Linked DNA regions of Oreochromis niloticus. The protein of the gene in region 2 interacts with the protein of the main gene of each other region in a pairwise test. Links are inferred from orthologs where the notes say so. Each region holds a gene or a part of one and is shown on either strand. Other genes may lie near its edges.

Region 1 (7,559 bases), on a different chromosome or scaffold from region 2:
AAGCTAGAGACCCAAACAAACAGGCATCAAGTCATAAGTCTCACCATGTTAGGATCAATTAGGAACTCAGCTCTTAGTGACGTCATACAGAGCTGAGAGGAAATCTTTAGCTGAACATTTAGATAGTATAGATAACTATAAAGGACAAAAACACATCATAAGTCTCTCTTTGAGATGCAGGGACTTTATAAGGTTGGACTCTGGCACAAATATCAGGCCTTACACTTTTGAAATGTAGCTTAGTCAAAAATCCAGTGACTCAGTTGTTCCTTAGCAACCTGCCAGGCCCAACCTGTTGACGCAGAGCTCATTCAACAAACACAGTTTGAATACCAGCAGAGAAGAAGAGGGAGGACACCCCCCCCCAAACAAACAAAACGAAACGAAACAAAACAAAACAACAAAAACAAAAAGTGTGCTGGGTTTCTGCTCCCGGCTGTGACTCGTTTTTCTGCGGCCGCAACTCTATGACTGCAGCCATCGAGGCACGGTGATCAGCTATATGTCGGTGTGCATTTCCCCTGTTAAATGAAGAAAAACAAACACGCAGTCTAGCCTGGTCTTCTTGCTGGGGAAGGAACCGCTCTCAGCATGCTGCCATAAATGAGAGCCTTGTCACTGTGAAGGTGGTGATAGGTTGGGTTGGTGGAGGCAGAGGGGGTACCCAGCCTTTACAAAACACTGAGATATTATCTCAAAGAAGTATATGTGTGTGTACAGTATAAGCTCTCTTTTCTCCCCGCTCCGCCTGTCTTCTTCCTACAAGCTCACACGCCCAGCCTCAGGCAAAGTTACCTCAACAGTAAAAAAGAAAAAAAAAAGAAGTGAAAAGTGAAAGCATCATTAAAACTGCTTCTTGCCTGCAGAGGCAGGCAGTTAACCATCTGGTGTTTCCATATTCACACTGTCAAATACAGAACTTCTATGTAAAAGCAGCAGCAGGACAATATTAAAAGAAGAAAAAAAGAGGACAAAACACCATGACTGAGTCAGTTATTCTGCTCAGATTTTCCCATGTTTCACTGTTTCCTATTAGGCAATCGGGCTGAAATATAGCTTGCGGAACAAAAGTCCGTCCTACTTTCCACATAACTGGTCCAAAAGTAAGGCACTGGTGCTGTAGCTCCCAAGCTTGAAAATTCCATTGCTACTCTTCCTACTTTAAACCTTTTTAGTCTAAGGATAAAGCAAGTTGCAGAAAGAATTAAGGTTAGCTCTGGGTGTGTAACAACTTTTGTCAGGTACATTTGTTTCTTCCAAGTAGTTATTTGATTAAATCAACGTGTAATTTGATTAAAAGCTGAGAATTGAGTAGGAGCTACTCAGTCAAGTCTGAGTCTTGAAATGCGGAATTCAAACATTTTTGTCATACCATAGCCATCCATGAGCATGCACACAAAAGGAAAAGAGTGACTCATTCAGCATCTAGCCACGCAGATGAATATATTCCATAAACAGACGTCAAATACCCTACTTTTCTTGTCTTGTCGTGGCGCATCCACTCAGATGTAGTCATATCATAGCAAACATGTATATAAAAGCAGTCCAACAATGGGATGGTGAGTCATGGGTTAGTAGGTGTGTGTGTGTGTAACAGGGAATGAAAAGCCTTCTGCGTCAACTATGCTCCATTGACTCTGACCACATGACCGAGGGAATTCCAGCATATCTCTGCCAGATATTCACCGAGGGGCAGCAGATGAGGCAGCGGAATGCTCATGTGACAGATGACTGTATGTTTTTATGATAGTCACAATAACGCCTGACATGACAATGATGCATGCAGCCACGAGAAGGTGCTGCTCCTCAGAAAGAGGCAAAATGTGTACATTTGATACCTTAAAGCTTTTCCACCATACATAAATAATTAGTTAAAGGGTGTTTCGAGCCTTGAAATGCCAGCAGCATCCTAATGTGAGAAAAAAAATCCTCTGCAGTATTACATAACTCTATAGCTTACTATTGCCAGGGGCCAAGGCATATGAACATTTCCCTCTCTGCCTACTACTCTATGACCTTCTTGGCTGCTGACACACTTTTGACTCCGGCTGTGCTGAAATTGATGACTATCAGTGGCTGACACTTTAACGTCCAAATATGGGAGGGGGAGGAAACATCCAAAAATCCAACATAAGATGATTTTTTATTGGAAATAAGCTCTCCAGTGTGTTTTAAATAGATCCAGTGTGTCATATCCAGCTTTTTTAGAATATTATATCATTTCTTTCTGACTTCCTCAGACTCAAGTGTTGGTGGAAGATGGTTTTCACTGGAGACATAAATAAAACATTTTGAATGGAGCTGTGATTCCGTTGCTAGGATAAACCGCGGAGGGGAAACCCTTCAAGGACTCCCGGAGGTCCTTGAACCCACGTTTGAAAACTCTCACTGAGCAAGCTGACTGACTTTGACTTCATTTCGGCACAATGTAACATCATCAATACAACTATGCGGCACTGCAGACGCGTAGTAATGTAAGGTAGTACCAGCTGAGTGACATAAAGCAGCTACAGGCTGTGTACTGCGCACTGTGTAGTACTACTTCCACAACTGAGACTCAACTGTAACACTGAAAATCACTCATTTCACTCCGGGAAGTCTGTCCCGAAAAAGAGTTATGAATAGATGAGAGCAACGACAAACAAAAACAGCGAGCTCTCAATGAAATATTTAGTGTCACCCCCACCCAGTCTCACCCTCTTCCTCCCGCGCTATTACACGACAGCAGTTTTCACCTCGAAGCAGAGTGAGAGACAGACACAGCAGCGAAACAACCCAGCTTTCCTGCACTTACCTCTGGAAGATATTCCACAGGAAACCCTGGTCCGGAGGAGCGTTGATGTGTGGGGGGGCTCTGTACGGACTGTGGTACGCCATTTTTACACGGAGCTCTCTGTCAGGTTTGCACAAGTATAGCTCGTGTTTCCTCCTCCTGCTGTAGTTTCTGCTCTCAGTAGCTTCAATCAGACTCCACCACCCTGACGTTCACGTTACCGCCTTCCTCCCTCGCGCAAAGAGGCGTGGCCAATCATTCAACACTACCCATAAAGGGGGGTGACATCACAATTTCCTCTCATTTTCAGCTAAAGTGAAAATAGAAACCTTAAATTTTTAAGTAGCTGTAAGTGTTGGTAAAATCACCTCTAACAACAGTTTGTCAAATTATTATTTTTTTATTATTTTAATACTGAGTGTAAAATTCACTCAGTATTTCCAGGATTTTTTTTTAAATAGGGTGAAACTGGAAGGATCCAAGAACCAGTCCAGAGAAGTTCCTGGAAAATCAGCAACATTCTCTGAGAAATAAAAGTCAAACAAAAGCATTTGAAAACTGACTCACAGTTCAGTTATATTGATTTTAATGTGCACAGAGCGCCTGTCTTCATATTAGGACTAAGAATAGGAATAACTTTTCAACATTACATGATTATATATTGCATTACTTATTACTTAATAAATTATAGAAATGTTAGCAGCAAAAGCATAATTAAAGTACCATTCTCTGAAGGAGGATAATTTTGCTCTAAAGCTATATTTTTAATCTTTATCAAAATAATGGCATGATAACTCAAGAAAACTGAGCTTTCTATACTTTCCTATGCTATGCCATTACAGTCTAGGTGCTATATTTTACATACTGTTTAGTAACTATGAAAACTTTATATAAAATTTTTTAAATATCTTTGAGATACTAGCAAGTATAGAGATAGGGAACATACAAATATACATGCATGTGCTACAGTGCTATTTTGCATTATGACACTTCATCTGTGCTTGGTTGAACTGTTGAACATACAAACATAGGTATGCTCCAGGCAGTTATATTATGATTATAAAAATCCATAAATATAGTCAGTTTAAATACTTTGCATTTAAAGTTTTAGTGTTTGTAACTAGTATGGCTGTGAAATAAATAAACCAAAAATAAAAACAAAAAAATCCATATGCTCACAAAGGGAGCAGAGTTATATAATATTACATTAAATGGGAACAAGTAAACCCTAAACCCATATAGTACTTGAGTACTGCTATCAGTCTTAATCATCAGTTTTAGAGTAATTTGATGCCCTTTTTAACTGTATAAAATATTAAGGCTCTATGTTAGTTTTTCTTTATACGGGTAAAATCTAACAAAACTACTCATCTTAAATTTATTTATGCAGCAATGGATTTATTTTTAGTACTTGAACGCATCATGGGTGTTTACTATCAATGTCCTGAATCTGAAACCGGATTGGTGGAGCATGATTTGAGGCGGGAAACCGAGACTCAAATTTCGGCAAAGATTGGTGTTTTAATCTAGTTCCTAAACTTGGTCCTCTTTTCTTTAACTTCTTCCATTTTTATTGACAGGTAAGACAAAATGTTTTACTACCCCAATGTGCTCCAGCGACATTCTGGATGTTTTTCCACAATTTGGTGAGTCTACATGTTGCTTCAAAGCCATTAGCAAGAAGTCCTGATGGACATTACCTCCCGACTAGCTAACTGTTATGTCTAAATTTTATAAATGCCTTTTGTTATTCAGGTTAGCAGCCACTAAAGGCATCAGGGTGACCCGCAGAGAGCTTCTGAGAGTCAATGTCAAGCGGACCTGGTATGAATGTGCACGTTTTTGTATAGCAAGGCTGATAAAATTGCTAAAAGTAGATTAGCAAAGGTTTAGACTAGTTTAGGTTACTTAGTTCTAACTTAGCACTTAACTACATCTCCATTAACCAGTAAATTGTGCAGCTAATTTTTACTGTGCACATTTAATCAAGATTTCTCTGTCTCATTTTGAATGTTTACAGCGGGGAGATTTTGGACTATGTGACTGCACAGGTTCCTCCACCACAACCCAGCCTGCCCAAGCCTCGGTTCTCTCTGTACCTGTCCTCTCAGCTGCAGTATGGAGTGGTTGTAGTCTACCACAGGCAGTGTGGCTTCTTGCTTGGTGAGGAACAAACAGAAAGACAGCAGAAACAAGAGAAACTGAAATCATGTGATCAGCCATGACATTCCTCTGCTTTGCCTACACGTTGCCCTGCAAGTTGAGTCACTGCAGTAGTTGTCAAATTTGAAAGTGTATACAAAACACTGAGGAGATGACTAACATGGATTAAAAAATAAATGGGAATCATTTCATGGTAGCTTGCTTATATAGGATTAGCAAAAAAAGGGAGTTGGTTGGCAAAATGATTTTCAATTGAACCAAAAAAACCCAACAAAAAAAACACTAACTCAAATAAACCAAAAGCAAAAACAGAGCAGCTTCATTATTTTTCATGATTGATGTTAACTGGGAAAAAAAGCCCAGCTTGTTTATTTTATGCAAAACACATCAGACAGATTGTGTTTGTCACCTTCTCTCCGTATCATGAAAACTGTTTTGGTGCAAAAACCAAAACAATGCTATCATCCCGGCTCCCACTGATAAGTGTGATTTAGAAGCCAATATGGAACTGATGAAAGCAACATCATCAAACACAGCACAACAGTCTCGATTCATCAGGTCTCAAATTGCAGCCTGACGATGATATTGCATCCGACAGATTCGCAATCATGCTGCTGTCATGGTTGATGAAAACGGTGAAACATAATGCAGGATGATCAGCAGGAGGAGAAGCCAAGAAAGCAGCCATTGTCTGCAGTGGCATTTAATTTCACCCACCAGTACAATAAAACCTCCAAGTGTGTGGGTATGATGTTTATATGGTATTATTAAGCAGGGCTTAGTGGAGTTTGGTATGGTCATGGTAAAATGGGACACAAACATCCTCCATGCTCATTTTTATGTGTCCAGACATCCATTTTTTGTAATATGCTTATTCAGTTGAAGGTCCTGTGGGGCTGGAGGCGATCCTGGCTTTGGGGGAGAGGTCGGGTACATCCTGGACAGGTTGCCAGTACAGGCAACCTAAATACTCTTACGACTTTTTATCAATGAGGATGTCAAATTCACATGTTAGCTTGAAGTGACCTTTAGTACATTTGTCACTGTTAACTTACATGTGATGCCTCTTCTTGCATCTTTTTTTGTAAGAGTCGTGTGCATAATTTTTCTGTTTTCCAGAGGAGGTTCAACAAACCATAGACCGCCTGCTGCGCTGTAAAAGATGTGTACCTATAGACATGGCTGAATCTGGCAGGTCTGTGTATGCACGCACAGTGTGCTAATCCACAGGGGAAGAAAATTTTGTCTCTTGGGGCATCTGAAAAAAAAATTAGCAGAACTGTCAGGAAGTTTTAGCTGTTTGGGGAAGTGTGAGCTCACAGGCTTGTTAAATATTTATGAAATGACAAACAGATTGTTTGGAGTAATAAACAGTAAAATGGAGAATATGGTGTTTAAATGAGTGGACAAATGGTTCCCCTTTCCTTTAAATAGCTTCATCAATGTTTCATAAGCCACATTATGGAACAGCAGTAATGTTATGCACTTTGCTATTAATCCATTTTGTGCAATATGAAGGAGCTCTAGTCTTATTCCAGTGATATTTTATATTATTAGAAACAGCAAATTCAAAAATGTGTGCAGTGTTTTAATATGTTGAGTAATAACATTGGTGTATCATACTGTAGGAATGCTTTGGATATGCCTGACATCCTGTACATGATGGAGGAGGCAGAAGGAGCGCAGGATCCCTTCTTTGGTATCATGGAATCTCAACACCTCCCCAGCCCATACAAATTACCCCAGGTACATACAGCCACCATTATACACCAATATTATACATGCATGCCTCTGTAATATGTCAGGTAAGCTACAGAGGGACTGCAGTCATCATCGCCAAGGACCGTGCTTGTCATAGCAAGTGATTGCTCCGTAAGCATGCAGGTGAGAGGCAGCAGTAGCTGCTACTGCTACAATAATGATTAGATTTACCATGAATCATAATAATAGAAGTTTGCAGGATTTCACACATGCAGGCAAACTCCTGTTTCCAAAAAAATCTTCTGACTTGTAAAGATCAGTTCAGTGTTGAGCTTCATATGCAAGATTATTTGTGACATTTGGTCCTTATCCTAACACACAGACAAACATCTGATGTCCTGAAATTGTGACTGGTCAGAGAAATGCAGAACTTACTGTTATTTCGTACAGTTTTGTTTGTTTGTTACCACAAATTACACATGCACCATTTGCTTGGATTATTGTTTTATAGTAATGTTTACAAATGGACTTTGATCAGTGTTTGTTGATCAATGGTCATGACAATTAGCATATTAATGATCAAGGAGCTGACCTCACAGCCCATGGTTCATTCAGTGGGCTGGTTTCAGTTATTGTGCAAATGTACTGTTTATAAGGTTGGGGAAACCTCCAGTCAGCTGAGACTGAAGAAGTCACTTGGATGAGTGACGAAACGTTTCTCGCACTAAAAAACGCTACGTCCAGGTGAACAGAATCAACCTTTGGGGGTTTACAAACCTAATTTCAAAGAAGTTGGGTTTGAAATAAAATGGGGGAAAAATGCAGTGATTTACAAATCTCATAAAACCATATTTTATTCACAATAGATCAAAGAAAACATATCAAATGTTTAAACTAAGAGATTTTACTATTTCATGAAGGA
Region 2 (6,914 bases):
AGAAATTAATCTTCTCTTTACTTCAGTGTGCAAAAGTGTGCACTGACTTTAACAGTCCTGCACAGTGGCTTACCTGGAGGTGGTGCCTGTGGGTATCCTCCAGCCTGTGGTGGGTAACCTCCAGCTTGAGGTGGATATCCTCCTGCCTGTGGTGGGTAGCCTCCAGCTTGAGAAGGATAGCCACCTGGCTGTGGGGGGTAACCTCCTGCTTGGGGAGGGTAAGCTCCTGGCTGTGGGGGGTAAGCACCTGGTTGTGGAGGGTAAGCCCCAGGCTGAGGTGGGTATCCTCCTGCCTGCGGGGGATATCCTCCTGCCTGAGGGGGATATCCTCCCGCCTGAGGGGGGTATCCAGGGTAGCTCATTGCTTTAAACATAAAACAGAACAGTCAAAGGGATGCCTACCACACAACATAACCTCTTACAAATAATAAGAATCTGCAGTATTATTATCATTTTGTGCAGCTGCCTCCATTAAAAAGTACATCATCTGTTGAAAATGAAAAAGTAAAAGATCAAACGTTTATGTGAACTGCACCTTTAAGTAATACGCAACTGATTCAGTGTGCATCGGATTTCTAAACAGAGTCATTATAGTTTTGCATTTTCAAATGAGGTCTTATTATTTACTCTAACAAGGAGCAGAAAACGGAAGATGAATGTTACGTTTTTGGCTTGACTTTAATTTTGCTTAGCCCCCCCGGAGCCAATTTGCTCTTTCAGTTTTGCCTTTACTGTTTTATATATTACTGTAGTTTTTATTACTTTCAGGGTTTTTTTTTATAATTATTATTACATATATGGTATTTCCACAATGTAGTGGTTTACACATTTAACACTAGTTAACAAGCAAAATGTCCCAATTAAATCGATCAACCAGTGTAAAAATCTGCCAAATCAAACATGTGAAACTAACAGCTGTAGTGAAGGGACCAGCTGAAAGGATCTTCTGTTACGTGGAGGTTCTTTGTCAGAGGCAAGACTTGAATTCCTGGATATTAGTTAATTATTTAGCATTACAATAAAGCACAAGACTTTGTGAAAACAGTTGACTCACAATGTGCGTCTAAGTCTCCAAAAAAAAAAAAGTAAAACTAAGTACATTTCCTCATTTTTTAGTTAGTTTTCCCTCAAAATCTATTTTTCTTGTACATTTTACTTACCTTCAGTTGGCATTACTAGCAATAACTTGTGGTGTTGTTAACACCACATTTAAAGTTTTAAATCTGTATGCTTTTTGTTTGTAATCTTTTGTTGAAATGCACTTCTGACCTGTGAACCTATAACTGTGAAACGGTAATAACTATGTGTTGCTTTGGTGTTGCTGGTTTGGAGTGTGCGGTTACACTGTTGCTGCTGCTGCATGTTAAAATCGTGTGAATTACTATATGAGGCAAGTTCACACATTTACAACAAAAAAAATAAAATAAAAGTTTTTAAAATATTTACAACACCTCAGTAAAGTACGTTAATTTTGCTGCTTTTCTGAATTGAACAATGATGCACTTTTATTGGCTTCTGGTCTAATATTTGTATAATGCTTGTTTGTTTAGTGACACTGCAGGTTTTATAGCCGATTTATATCCCTGACCCCAAACAGTCTTTCACTGTTAACTAAGACATGCACAATCATTTTACGTTTCTTTCTTCCTTTAATATGCATTGAGCTAGTCTTTTTCTAGTCACCATTAACTTTTACTAATGTAGCAGTGTAGAGGTCATGGTCATGGAAACCTAATGAGGGACAGACTCTTCATTCCATAGCCATGTGATCACAGATACTTTTAGCTCAGTGGTGGAATGGTAAGGAAACTTTCATTTTGGTTAGGCGTAGTATGAAAAGCTTGTCCTCCAGCAGGCCCATTTATTCCGTGGTAAAACTGACTCCAGTTGACTTAACTGGAACAGTCTTCACTGCTTTTATGCACATAGGATGAAAACAAGCTGCTACTGCATCTGAATAAGCACACAGGGCAAGAAAGATACCCAGGGAAATACAGAGGTAGAATATTTCATCATAAAAACAACACAGTACACGTCATTATGTTAAACTACTGCTAATGTCCAGCTCAGGAACACTGATGCTGAGTATTAAGGTTAAGGTCTTCATGTACAAACATGAGTGAATACGGTTTAGTTTCAAATCTGTCTTAAACACATTTAAATGTTGTTCAGGGGGAACACATCTGACTGGTTTCCCCTCCAAATTGTAAGCAGAGTCACATCACGTAATACATCTCCATATATGTTCTTTTAAGGGTTTACGGTCTTTAAAAAAAGTGACTGTTAATATTGGGAAATCCTAACATCCGCGATTCACTCGCTTTATAACTTAGGCGACTTTTGGACCGGTTAAACATCGTAACCAGTGTTATAATGTACTAAAAATCTACTATGACAGTCCTCGGAAACAAACCTTTGGCTCGCTAATTATAAAATACATGCCATGCTTGGGGCCTGTGTTAATAATTTTATAGAGCTAGCAAGTTAAACTGGCTCCCAACTGTATTTACATAGAGTAGCCATATCCGTCTAATCCATTGAAGGCTCGCTCGCTTCCCGCATTTAAGCTAACTAACTATAAATAAATATAACAAAATATAAAGCATCAAAAACGAAACTACGACCTGCATGTGTACTTTCTAGCTTTCCTCGACTGAGCTAAAGGCAAAGGTATGTCTGTAATAACGTTGACAGAGCAGCTAGCGACTGCTTCGAGAAGACAAGCAGCTCGGTAAACGTCAAAGCAGCAAAACGCCTTAAAAAAACGACACCACGATCCAGCTCAGGTATAACCTTTACTAACCTACCATGCACCGCTTTAGTCTGTGTAAGAAGCTGTTTTCGCTTTTAGCACTTACTTTAGTTTTCTTGCAGTCTCTTCCTGGAAGCTTGTATTTCTTCGACTATCTTGGTTGTATTTAAGTGGTGTGGGTGGGACGCAGAGTTTCCATTGAAGGTTCCCACCCATCTCTCTCTCTATAGCCGTCCTCTGTGACAACGCCTATAAAAAAAATGAATTCACTGTTGGACGTATATGTGACCCATGGTGACTTAATGGAAAACGTGACAGCTATTATTTCACAAAAGGTATATTGTTTGACTGATGTGTTCCTGGAAGGTAAGAATATCTGAGTGTATAACTGAGTTAATCCCCTTTCTTTGTACATTTCTTTTTATTTTCTTGTAGCTAAAAGAAAATGTAATGGTTAATGTATCTGGCAGTAATAAGTCTTTTAGCAATTTTTAAAAGAGAAAATGAAATAAAATACAAATATTAGGAAGTGAAACCATGCTGTAGGCCTGTGAACATATACAGCCAAAAAGAAAGAAAGAAATGAAGACATGACAACCAATTCTGTTCTAAAGTTTTACTTATCAAGATAAGATAAGATAAGATAACTCTTTATTGTCATTGCACAGTCATACCTAGTACAATAGTACAATGAAAATGGAAACTGTCCCACGTCGAGACTAGGTACAACTAAACACAACAAAACACAACACAAACAGTAACAACACAACACAGTAACTTTAAAGTGGAGTGATAAGCGCAAGAAAGGTATAAGCAAAAAAAAAAAAGGAATGACTTCATAAATAAATAAAAGAAATGAATGAATGTTTCTTGCACATTATTATTATTGCCCTCCAAAAAAGTCCAGGGAGGTAGCCAATCAGGTCAGCTGTTAGCATTGATTAGGGCTATTGCCCTGTTGTAAAAGCTGTTCTTGAGTCTGTTTGTCTGTGACCTAGGCAACCTGAATCTGGGCAGGAGATTCAGGTTGCTGAGGTCACTTAAACACCCGGTGTCTTGGGTATGTGCAATCCTGTAGGATGCTGCGTGCCCTCGTGAGACAGCAAGTGCTGTACAGGTCCTTCAGGGAGGGAAGAGGATGTCCAATTATTTTTTTCAGGACATAATGATAATGATAGTCCCTACAGTGGCTCCTCCACATGGCCATATGGGGGCCACTAAAAATATTGGGGTGGCACACCAAATGTTTTAAGTTTTCTATTCCAGTTTTATTATGCTATTGTCAAGTATGGGTTACATGAAAAATGTGACAAAGAGGGAGGGGGAGAGAGAGAGAGAGAGAGAGAGAGAGATTTCATTTTTTTCAGCAGCATTTCTCTGTTGTTATCTCTGAGCTTAAATGTGCAGTTGAACCAGTGATAGATAAGCAGATAAGCTTATCTGGCCCACTTAAGATTAAAGTGGGCTGTATGTGGCCCGTCATGTAAAATAAGTTTGACATCCCCACCTCTGCCTCAGACTCCTAAATGTTAAAGTTCATGTAAAAAGTACACTTAGAAAAAGACTGAATAAGTATGGTGTGTTTGAAAGGTTTGCCAGCACAAGGCCTCTTGTCTCTAAAAAGAAAACATTAGCACGGCTTAGGTTTCCGAAGTTGCATCGGAGCAAATTGAAAACACCTGGAACAATGTCGTCTGCACAGATGAGAACAAAGTGGAGATGTTTTACCACAATGTACACTGCCACATTTGGCAAAAACCAAACACAGCATATCAGCACAAACAACTTGTACCAACTATAAGCTTGGTGGTGAAGGCGTGATGTTTTGGGCTTGTTTTGGAGCCACAGGTCCTGTGCACCTTGCTGTCATTGAGTCGACCATGAGCTCCTCAAGTATTCTGGAGTCAAATGTGAGGTCATCTGTCTGGAAGCTAAGGCTTGGCTGAAACTCGGTCATGCAATAGGACAATGACAGCAGCAAATCTACAACAGAATGGCTTAAAAAGTAAAGAATCAAAGTGCTGCAATGGCAAGGTGTTGGAAAATCTAGACCTCAGCCACACTGAAATGCTGTGGCAGGAAAGCTGTGCAGAAATAAATGCTTCCAAACTCCAATGAACTCAAGCAACACAAGGAAAGAAGAGTGGGCCAAAATTCCTACACATGTGAGAGACTGATATAGTAGCACAGAAAACATTTACTTCAACTCATTGCTGTTAAGGGTGGTTCTACAAGCTACTGAATCACAGATTGTACTTAGGTTTTCACACACTCCTTCTGTGTTGTGGCTTAGTTTTGATGAAATAATGTTACAGTGTAATATCACATGTACTACTGTTCATCTGACGTTGTATTTCATTAATTTTAGAACCTGGTTAGGTCTATTTGTTTTATTATCGTGTCATATGCACCTCAGAACTGAAATAGCTTTTCACATGACTCTATTGTAAATGTATGCACATATGGGAAACATCTGTTAATATAGTTTATATATGTGACTCATATTGCAGACGTAATTTAAGTCTGTGAATTTAAAAGCACAAGATAAAATTGGGTTTTGGAAAGCAGTAGTCATACTTAAGAGCCAGAATAACCTCTCTAGGAAATGAATGCCAGTATCTTCTGGATTCATGGATATATGCAGGGATTTTTGCCACAAGAGGGAGCTGTTTTTAAGGTTTTCTCCATACTCCGCTGCCTTGAATCTGCGGGTTGGCTGGAAGCTGGGACGTGCTCGACAGAGTGTGCCCCCAAAGAGTCCTGATAAGCTGCACAGTTTATTGATTTCTTAACCGCTGGACTAAATGGTATAAAGTTATCCAGGTTTTTCTTTATAGCATATTAATATGTGTTTTCGGAATGTGGCTGAATGACATAAAGAATCATGGAGGCCTATTTCCACACAGAGTAGAGAAATAGTAAACCATATATATTAGTAACTAGGTAAATAATAGAATATGTACACCGTCTTTATACAGCAGTTACTCGGTTGTATCGTGAATGACTCCTGGAACAAACGACGCGCTGATTGGCTGCTGGTCCTCGGTGACGCAGAGCCGCGTTCATTGCATATTCAAAGAGCTTCTCTCTGCCCCGCCGCAATAAAGGCAGATAGCGGACCATGGGGAGCAGGGGAAAACTTTTTATACTGACATGTTAACGCCATGACTTTTGAGTAACATCTAAGTGGGACGAGGCTCCCGGCGTGAGGAGGACAGGGCCTTTTACAGAAAGAAGAAGAAGAAAAGGGAACACTTGCCATCAGTTTGGGGACGGGGACGGGAAAAAAGCAAGATTTGAGACGAGTCCAGCAAAAAAGAAAAAAAAGAAGCGGTGGAAATCCAGTTTGGACATTTGAATGGAAAGATGAGCTTGCTGTCTGCCATAGACACGAGTGCCTCCGTGTACCAGCCGGCTCAACTTCTCAACTGGGTCTATCTCTCCTTACAAGACCCCCACCAGACCAGCGCCTTTGACGCGTTCAGACCCGAACCCAACTCTTCCCACCCGGATCTCAATTTCAGCAAGACTCCCGCAGCGGCGGATTTGAGCTCTTCCCTGAACTCCAACTATCTCAACAACTTCTTCCAGCTGCAGCGAAATGAGGTGAACTGACGGCATGCTACGTACAAATCCGGGATGTCTGAGGTTGTGAGACTGTGGCTGAGTTTAGAGAGAGTTGGCCGGTGTTAGTGTTGCTTGTCTGGGCAGCAAATGTTTGAGCATGCAGGTTGCAACACGGGCTATTCTGGTATAACCGCCATGATATTTTTAATATGGACAAAAACCTAAAATAGTCCGATGAAATAAACATTTTTGGGGAGATTACTTTGAATGTAGCTCTATTGCTATGTGCAGATCTAAGTCTTTTACATAATATAAAACGATTGTGTAGGCTTCTGTGTATATGATTGCAATACTAGAAGGGCAAAATACACCAGAAATACTCAGTAAATATGTCACTAACCCACTCATGGATTAAATACTTATGTGAAAAATTAAAATTAATGTGCAATCTTTCAAGATCTAAATATCACACAGCTCATTTCCCTCCCCCAGATGACATGATTACACATGAAGAGGTCTGCTTTCAGCATATTTATAAGTTATGGCTCAAAGTTAATGTGGTGAGGAAAAATATGTTTTAATCAGAGAGGCAGGA

What was found.
Region 1: the proteins of anxa11a (region 2) and pdcd6 interact in binary tests that used the Homo sapiens proteins (3 or more experiments, as listed by UniProt). The link is inferred for Oreochromis niloticus from reciprocal best matches to the Homo sapiens genes ANXA11 and PDCD6.

The regions. Positions count from the first base shown.
Region 1 is NC_031974.2:23,973,711-23,981,269, forward strand, and holds the start of pdcd6 (programmed cell death protein 6), read right to left. Parts: upstream 3,019-7,559; 5' UTR 2,878-3,018; coding exon 2,795-2,877; intron 1-2,794. Other genes in the region: rec8b (REC8 meiotic recombination protein b), read left to right, coding at 4,364-4,419, 4,529-4,597, 4,794-4,936, 6,056-6,131, 6,565-6,682. UniProt on the Homo sapiens protein: Calcium sensor that plays a key role in processes such as endoplasmic reticulum (ER)-Golgi vesicular transport, endosomal biogenesis or membrane repair.
Region 2 is NC_031978.2:16,479,160-16,486,073, forward strand, and holds the start of anxa11a (annexin A11a), read right to left. Parts: upstream 3,005-6,914; 5' UTR 2,859-3,004; intron 365-2,858; 5' UTR 363-364; coding exon 74-362; intron 1-73. Other genes in the region: zcchc24 (zinc finger CCHC domain-containing protein 24), read left to right, coding at 6,119-6,358. UniProt on the Homo sapiens protein: Binds specifically to calcyclin in a calcium-dependent manner. Required for midbody formation and completion of the terminal phase of cytokinesis.